Linked DNA regions of Saccharomyces cerevisiae S288C. The gene in region 1 interacts genetically with each later gene. Each region holds a gene or a part of one and is shown on either strand. Other genes may lie near its edges.

What was found. A genetic interaction does not mean that the proteins touch.
Region 2: mutations in YAL064W (region 1) and MXR1 together harm fitness more than expected from each alone (negative genetic interaction), as found in Saccharomyces cerevisiae (one large-scale study listed by BioGRID).
Region 3: mutations in YAL064W (region 1) and MAL31 together harm fitness more than expected from each alone (negative genetic interaction), as found in Saccharomyces cerevisiae (one large-scale study listed by BioGRID).

The regions. Positions count from the first base shown.
Region 1 is NC_001133.9:19,907-22,364, forward strand, and holds YAL064W (uncharacterized protein), read left to right. Parts: upstream 1-1,659; coding exon 1,660-1,944; downstream 1,945-2,458.
Region 2 is NC_001137.3:233,214-235,992, forward strand, and holds MXR1 (peptide-methionine-S-sulfoxide reductase), read left to right. Parts: upstream 1-1,723; coding exon 1,724-2,278; downstream 2,279-2,779. Other genes in the region: YEN1 (crossover junction endodeoxyribonuclease), read left to right, coding at 1-1,527; SAH1 (adenosylhomocysteinase), read right to left, coding at 2,557-2,779. UniProt on the Saccharomyces cerevisiae protein: Has an important function as a repair enzyme for proteins that have been inactivated by oxidation. Catalyzes the reversible oxidation-reduction of methionine sulfoxide in proteins to methionine.
Region 3 is NC_001134.8:802,130-806,360, forward strand, and holds MAL31 (maltose permease), read right to left. Parts: upstream 2,347-4,231; coding exon 502-2,346; downstream 1-501. Other genes in the region: YBR298C-A (uncharacterized protein), read right to left, coding at 2,906-3,127; alpha-glucosidase MAL32, read left to right, coding at 3,222-4,231. UniProt on the Saccharomyces cerevisiae protein: High-affinity uptake of maltose and maltotriose. Also transports turanose but not alpha-methylglucoside, melezitose or trehalose.

The sequences.
Region 1 (2,458 bases):
TGAAGCTGGGTGTGGAAGATTTATTTGAAGAAACTAAAACGTACCCTGTCATTTCCTGAGTCCCCTTTCAACTTAGTGTGAAAGCCGAACAATTATAATCCTCGGTAGACAACAGATTTATTGTACTAAAGTTACTCTTCCTGTTATCTTCCTTGATTTTACTGTTATAGCAATGACCCACCGCAATCAGGAGAGCCGCCGTATGGAATAGCATACCAAGTCATAAAATCGTCAACCTATTAACGGGGTTCAGGTTCTTTTTCAGCGTAGTAGCCCTTTAACAAGCGCTGACAAAGTTGACACTCAGAGAAAATTCAGGATTTATTGTAATCCAGCTACTCATCCTTAGATCCGCTTGCAGGCATGGTTTTTTTCACCTTGAGAGGCTATTTTGGGTAAGCCAGGAAGGCTGAAAAATCCCAAAAGGACACAGTAATAAGAAATTGTTGTTGTTGTATGATGCATTTAGAACTCAAAAGACGAGTTTCTGAAAATGCTTACAATACTCCATAGGTAACATGATTTTTTTATTAAAAAAGTATACTGTTCCTTTGGGTAAAAATTATGCAACCCTTGAGTGTCCGATGAAGATAAGACTACGAAACAATTTGCGGTAAATTTTTTCTGCTATTGACATTTACACATGCTCCAATCCATTACCCTTTCCATTCTCGTAATAAAACCTCGAACTGTTATTTCATATTTACATCTAGACGGGTATCGGCCTCAACAACTCCAAACAAAAGTAAATAGAAAAGAGCCAGACCTATCGCACCGGGTAGAGCCAGAAAATATTTTAAACTATAGTTGACGTATTCTACGGCTGTTGTTTAGGACAATACTTTTTCCTTCACAGGCTTCGAATTACGCACATGCAGAACTCCTGTAGAAACCACGAAGAAAAGTTTAATTAACTTTCAAATGCCAGAACTAAAGATTGATGAAACAGTTATACGAATTTAAGGGGAACTTGCTTTTTCCTTTTGCTTCATCATAAGCGCAATATTCGCAGCGGTGGCGTCGCGTCTTACCATTTATCGGCACATTTTTCCGAAAAGGAAGGAAAATGGCGGTGTCAAACGGTCTGGTGTGACATCTAGAAGTTCGGCATTGCAAGTTAATCTACGGGAAAAAGAAAATTTTCTTATAACCCTAATGTATAATAAGGTTTTCGGAGAAAGCAACTCACGGGGAACAATTGGTTAGAAGAGACCGTAGAAGCGCCCCACTAACCTGGAGTTGATTATCGAGGATCTTTCTCAGAAAAGCAGCTAATAAATGAGCACAGTACTCAAAAATTACTCATAGTATTATAATTACTTACTTAGTCAATATGGCTGCGCTTTTAAAATGAGTATCTTTTATTTTTTGACAAGGAAGAAAAAGATGCAAGCAAAGAGAAATTTACTAAGTACAAGCTCATTTCCAAAAATTCAGTTTGCCTGTAACAATGGGTAGCGATCTTCAACATATGGGATTATGCCTTGAATGAGATTTTTGAACGTAGAGGAAAAAATCGCAGACAGGCTTTATTGTGCTGTTTGACATAGTATACTCAGCCGTTGTGGTGTTAATGAATACTATCGATGTGTATACAAACGTACTTCAAATAAGCAATGCGAATATACTGCAACTTTTCGGCCTTTGCAACGATTTGTAATGAATCCTTTTGCATCGCTAGAAGGACAAGATAATATTTCTTCTGTTTTTTTTTTACATATGCAACAATTTGAAAGTCAGGTCAAAGACAGATTCCGGTTCCCCATATTCAGATTGGAGAGAAAAACTTTTGGCAACTCATGTTACCAAGTCGAGACGCTTAAAGTTAAGTGTCGGCCAAGACACGCAAAATCTTGTAATCTTTTAACGCTGCTCTTCAAATCACGGACGCAATCAGTACTTGTACCTAATTTTGGTTTTCTAATATTGAATAGCGAACCATAGGTCGAAAATTTAAGGCCACATAAATCCAGAGCCCGCAACTTGGATAGGTATTTACTTGATTTTTAGTTTGCTTTCAATAGTGTCGTGAAATTATAAAGTACGCCGCATATATATCTTGATTAGTTAAAAATAGCAGTGTTCAATGATGATTTGATAGGGTTCATAACTGGTACCAGCGTAGTACAATTACGATTATCCATGAACATAAAAGTGGTTTAAGTACTATATATCAGTGAAGCTTCAAAGTAAGCAAACGAGATACCAAGATCTTGTAGGACCACGATATATAAGAAGCCTAGTTCCGTTGTAGCATCACATAGAAGAGAGCGACAATGCCTCAGAAATTCTACAGCAACAGAAAGCACAGTGAGTCATTAACTGTTGGAATAAGACTCAACTGCGAGCTATCGACTAGTACTTATATTACTAGTATATTATATACGGTGTGAAAAGACGACATGAAGATTGAGGAAATGGTCCCAAGATCTAATGGACACTGAAATGCAAAAGTTGA
Region 2 (2,779 bases), on another chromosome or scaffold:
AGTAAAGAATCTTTTGTTACTGTTATAGATCTACCCAAAATTAATAAAGTAGCAGGGAAGAAGTTTGATCGCCTGTCTCTCTTATTTTTCAGCGTGCTATTAGGTGCCGATTACAATCGTGGAGTCAAGGGTTTGGGTAAAAACAAATCTTTGCAGTTGGCTCAATGCGAAGATCCTAACTTTTCCATGGAATTTTATGACATTTTCAAAGATTTCAATTTAGAAGATTTGACATCAGAAAGTCTGAGGAAGTCTCGGTATAGATTGTTTCAAAAAAGATTATATTTATACTGCAAGGATCATTCTGTCGAGCTATTTGGAAGAAATTATCCTGTTTTATTGAATCAAGGTTCATTTGAAGGCTGGCCATCAACTGTCGCAATCATGCACTATTTTCACCCCATTGTCCAACCATATTTTGATGAAGAAGTTCTCAGTGATAAATACATAAATATGGCTGGAAACGGACACTACAGAAACTTAAATTTCAATGAACTGAAATATTTTTTACAAAGTTTGAATTTGCCTCAAATTTCTAGCTTCGACAAGTGGTTTCATGATTCTATGCACGAGATGTTTCTATTAAGAGAATTTTTATCAATTGATGAGTCCGATAATATAGGTAAAGGTAATATGAGGATTACCGAAGAAAAAATTATGAACATAGATGGTGGAAAGTTCCAAATACCATGTTTTAAAATACGGTATACAACATTCTTGCCTAATATACCCATTTCTTCTCAATCTCCTTTGAAGCGCAGTAATTCTCCCAGTAGAAGCAAGAGTCCCACACGACGTCAGATGGATATAATGGAACACCCAAATAGTCTTTGGTTACCCAAATACTTGATACCTCAATCGCATCCATTAGTAATTCAATATTATGAGACACAGCAACTTATACAGAAAGAAAAAGAGAAGAAAGGTAAAAAATCGAATAAGTCTCGGCTACCACAGAAGAATAACTTGGATGAGTTTTTAAGAAAGCATACTTCGCCGATTAAAAGTATCGGAAAGGTAGGCGAGTCGAGAAAGGAAATCCTGGAACCTGTGAGAAAAAGGCTTTTTGTAGATACAGACGAAGATACTAGTCTGGAAGAAATACCGGCTCCCACAAGACTGACCACCGTCGATGAACACAGCGATAATGACGATGATTCGTTGATTTTTGTAGATGAGATTACAAACAGCCAAAGCGTTTTAGATAGTTCACCCGGTAAAAGAATTCGGGATCTTACACAGGACGAACAGGTTGACGTTTGGAAGGACGTAATAGAAATATCACCAATAAAAAAGTCAAGAACTACTAATGCTGAGAAAAATCCGCCTGAGTCTGGTTTAAAATCACGCTCAAGCATCACAATCAATGCTCGCCTTCAAGGTACTAAGATGTTGCCTCCAAACTTGACTGCTCCAAGGTTAGAAAGAGAACACTCCTCTGTCCTTGACCAACTTGTCACAGACGCACAAGATACAGTCGACCGGTTTGTAGCCTGTGACAGTGATAGCAGTAGCACTATTGAATGAGTTAACGGGCACAGCGTCAAAAAATCCGCCACCACAGTTGATCGCGCCGAAAACGAGGGAGTTGCGATGAGTAAAATGAAGGGCATATATAAACAAGAGTAGACAGAGACACATTTTTCAATATCATATATATAGATTTAATTGGAAAGACAGTTATATTCTAACGTCAAAAACTTAACAAGTAAATCAAGTTGCAATGTCGTCGCTTATTTCAAAAACCATTAAGTATGATCCAGCCAAGGATAAATTAATCACATTAGCATGTGGATGTTTTTGGGGTACAGAACATATGTATAGGAAGTATTTGAATGACCGTATAGTGGATTGTAAAGTAGGTTACGCTAATGGAGAAGAGTCTAAAAAGGATAGCCCCTCTAGTGTCTCTTATAAGAGAGTTTGTGGTGGTGACACAGATTTTGCGGAGGTTTTACAAGTATCCTATAATCCCAAAGTGATAACTTTGAGAGAATTAACTGATTTCTTTTTTAGAATCCATGATCCTACTACATCTAATTCACAAGGACCTGATAAAGGTACACAGTATCGCAGTGGATTGTTCGCTCATTCAGATGCTGATTTAAAAGAATTAGCCAAAATAAAGGAAGAATGGCAACCAAAATGGGGTAATAAGATTGCCACAGTTATTGAACCAATCAAGAACTTTTACGATGCTGAAGAATACCACCAGTTATATTTAGATAAGAATCCACAGGGATATGCATGCCCTACTCATTATCTGAGAGAAATGTAGCTTTTTTAGTGTACGTGCCCTTATTTATGAAAAAAAGTCAAGTGCATGAATGAAATATTTACTGTTGAAGAATTTATTATATATATAGGTATACAGGATCTATCTTTTCGATAACGTAACTTAGTATCACATGTATTAGTATTAATACTGTGATAGGATTGTTAGCTGTTGTTTTTATATTTGCAATTTATTTATGATCTTTTTTGATGATCAAACCGTTGAGTTTTTGAACATTAAAAAATAGTGAGAAAGAAGAACTGAAATGGGAATTGAATTGATCAATATCTGTAGTGGTCGGCCTTGAATGGACCTTCTTCTGGAATACCCAAGTATTCAGATTGGACTTTACTCAATTTAGTCAATCTAACACCCAAGTTGCCCAAGTGGAACTTAGCGACAGCTTCATCCAAGATCTTTGGCAAAACGTGGACACCAACTTCGAATGGGCCTGTCTTTTGGAATTCAATGTGCTTTTCTCTGAAAGACTTATCGTTAGACTTG
Region 3 (4,231 bases), on another chromosome or scaffold:
CGGGCAGCTTACTAATATAAATTTTGTGGCATTTTTGTTGGGATATGAGAATCATGTATCGTTGATTTACAAAGCGAATTTACGTTACCAGGAATAGGGAATACTCTCTTGAATTCTAACATAAGCACAGAAATGCTGAAAGAATACGTCAAAAAGTAAATTTACAGAATTAAAAAAAAAATAATTGTTGCCGGAACATGAATAGAGTGTATCAATATACAATATAAAAATTCAAGCATTTTCATTAACGGGAATGAAAAAATTGTATATTAGTACTTCTTTTTGCAAGATATTTAAATCTAGGACCCTCATCACAATGATTCATTTAAATCATTAACGTTTTTTCAGAACAAAATAATAACCTCTAGTTGAAAAAACTTCAAAGCCGCAACAAAACCAAAAAAAAGTCATAATGTCGAGTAAAAATAAACTCGATGTGTTAAGTACTAGTTATATAAAATAAAATTAAATAACGCCGTATCTACCTACTGGCTAAAAAAATCATTTGTTCACAACAGATGAGGTGTTTCGCCCTTCATCTACCACAGAAGTTTCCAAATCTTCCTTCGGATCTTTAACATTAATTTCTGCAGCTGCTGCTTTGGCAGCTGCAAAAGGGTCGACTTTAGTCGACTTGAACTTTCTTGCTGGAACACCAAGTCTAAACAATTCATTTATCTCAATAAAAGTCCTGCCAGCGGTTTCTGGTAAATCGACAACAGCCCAAGCTAAAGTGGCCAGACAAAATCCTCCCCAGAAAAAGCCTGATTTAGCACCCCAATTCCATTTCTCTGAGTTCAATTGGTACATGATCAAAACTGTAACTACAACTTGGATCACATTGTAAGCATTACGAGCCAAAATAATTGTTTTGGTTCTTAGCCTTGAAGACGGTATTTCAGACACTAAGCAAAAAACAACAGGTGCAATACCGAGGTTGTAAAAGAACGCGACAACCATTAGAAGAGCACCACTACCCATTTTAGCGCCATGAGTGTCTGAACATCCTAAACCACCGATAATGAAGAACATAATAGCCTGAAAAGCCAGCCCAAAAGCATAAAGGTCAAATCTGCCACAATATTTTGAAGCCCACCAGGATATAAACGTTGCAGCAATACCAAGACAATATTGGATAATACTGAAAGTAAAAGCCGTATCAGTGCTAACACCAGCTTTTTCATAAAAGTAAGTTGAATAACCAATTAATGATGCACCACAGGAGCATTGACCGATCCAACATAAACAAGCTATTCTCGTTCTTCTCCTGTTAATACCATCTTTCACACAATCCCAGTAAGTTCCTTCATCAGACATTTTCTGCTCCTTTTCTATAGTAGTTTTGATTTTATCGAGTTCCATACTCACTAGTAATTCTTTCTCGGGTCCTTTACCACTTAATGTTCTTTCAAGTGATCTCCTCGCTTGATCAATCCTTCCTTTTTTAACCAGCCACCATGGAGACTCTGGTGCAAAAAAAATACCTACCGCCAAAGGAAGGGGCCAGATCCACTGCAAAGCAAAAGGTAGCTTATATCCTAGTTCTGAGTTGGCATATTTGTTCTGGGAATTTTTCATAATACCAGCAGCGAAAAGTTGACCGAACGCCCAACATAAATTAGAATAAGTCGTCAAATAGTATCTTAGGGCCAAAGGACAAATTTCAGAAGCATAAGAAACGGTCAAACATTGGAAACAACCCCATGGCATACCACACAATGCCTGTCCCACGGCAATCATACCCAAACTCTTGCAAAAATACAGAATGAAAATGAAAGCCGCTAAAAAGAACAACGCCATGATCAGAGTGTAACGGTTGCCCATGTAATCTACAGAAGGCCCAGTCATTTGCAAACCGACAATCTCACCTGCCATGTAGCATAGACATAGACCGATTTGCCAGGAAACTGAAATTTCATAATCTCCTGTATTGCTATTCAAAGAACCATATTTTTTTTGAAAAACAGGCAGGGCATAGAAAGCTCCTAGAATGGCTGTGTCATAACCCTCTTGAATCAATGTTGTGGAAACTAATAGTGACCAAGCAGCAGCTTTTGGATATGTCTTCAAAGCTGTCATGAGTGGCATTCCCCTCTCACTTTCATCTGCCTCTTTGGCGTCCTGCATAGCTTCATCGAGAAGGTCGGGGACTTCTTCATTATTATCGTTTGGTATTAGTGAACCTGGACCGTACTCAAGATGGGAAAGATCAAAATCACTTTTCTTACCTTGCTCCTCCATCTCTATCGAGTTGAATTCGGTAGCGTTCACGCCATTCTCGATCTCATCTAAGTGTGAGTCGTTCCTGTCTTTTTTTCTGTTTATTAATGAGGATAATCCCTTCATAGTTAATTAATAGTCTTGGATGTAATTCTTATTGTTATACTGAATACGCTAAAACCACTCACAACAAGTATGGAGTATATTGTGTCTCTTTATATACTGAGTACTTATGCAATATGCGCTCACTCAGGATGAAATGTACACAGCCGAAAGTATATTGAAAGCTGCCTCTGTGGAAACTTCTATCTAATGTTGTCTCCAGATGTAGACTATGAGGCCTGAAGAAGTCTTTAAACACCTGTTGGAGAGTATAAGGAGACTGCTACAACAACGTCTTCCCCACAAAAATTATGTGGAGGCCGGTATGATACCTGCACAAACGTTAAGTTACACATGAAAAAGAGACTGACATAACTTTGATCTCTGAAAATATGTTTTCCCCTGAGTAGCTTCACTGCTTGGATACCAATACGAATAGACCTTGGCTATAGTAAGTTGCATCTGTACCGTAGAGATTCTTGCAACCTCGCTTAAACTCTCGCTTTTATATAATATTTCTCCTTATTGCGCGCTTCGTTGAAAATTTCGCTAAACACGGGGTTTAAGTTTAAGTTTACAGGATTTATCCGGAAGTTTTCGCGGACCCCACACAATTAAGAATTGGCTCGAAGAGTGATAACGCATACTTTTCTTTTCTTTTTTCAGTTCCTAGCGTACCTAACGTAGGTAACATGATTTGGATCGTGGGATGATACAAACAACGTAAGATGAGTAGTTCCTTCCTCAATTCTTCTTTCAGCATCATTTTCTTGAGGCGCTCTGGGCAAGGTATAAAAAGTTCCATTAATACGTCTCTAAAAAATTAAACCATCTATCTCTTAAGCAGTTTTTTTGATAATCTCAAATGTACATCAGTCAAGCGTAACTAAAATACATAAATGACTATTTCTGATCATCCAGAAACAGAACCAAAGTGGTGGAAAGAGGCCACAATCTATCAAATTTACCCAGCAAGTTTTAAAGACTCCAATAACGATGGCTGGGGTGATTTAAAAGGTATCACTTCCAAGTTGCAGTATATTAAAGATCTTGGCGTTGATGCTATTTGGGTTTGTCCGTTTTATGACTCTCCTCAACAAGATATGGGGTATGATATATCTAACTACGAAAAGGTCTGGCCCACATACGGTACCAACGAGGACTGTTTTGAGCTAATTGACAAGACTCATAAGCTGGGTATGAAATTCATCACCGATTTGGTTATCAACCACTGTTCTACAGAACACGAATGGTTCAAAGAGAGCAGATCCTCGAAGACCAATCCGAAGCGTGACTGGTTCTTCTGGAGACCTCCTAAAGGTTATGACGCCGAAGGCAAGCCAATTCCTCCAAACAATTGGAAATCTTTCTTTGGTGGTTCAGCTTGGACTTTTGATGAAACTACAAATGAATTTTACCTCCGTTTGTTTGCGAGTCGTCAAGTTGACTTGAATTGGGAGAATGAAGACTGCAGAAGGGCAATCTTTGAAAGTGCTGTTGGATTTTGGCTGGACCATGGTGTAGATGGTTTTAGAATCGATACCGCTGGTTTGTATTCGAAACGTCCTGGTTTACCAGATTCCCCAATTTTTGACAAAACCTCGAAATTACAACATCCAAATTGGGGGTCTCACAATGGTCCTAGGATTCATGAATATCATCAAGAACTACACAGATTTATGAAAAACAGGGTGAAAGATGGTAGAGAAATAATGACAGTCGGTGAAGTTGCCCATGGAAGTGATAATGCTTTATACACCAGTGCAGCTAGATACGAAGTCAGCGAAGTTTTCTCCTTCACGCACGTTGAACTTGGTACCTCGCCATTTTTCCGTTATAACATAGTGCCCTTCACCTTGAAACAATGGAAAGAAGCCATTGCATCGAACTTTTTGTTCATTAACGGTAC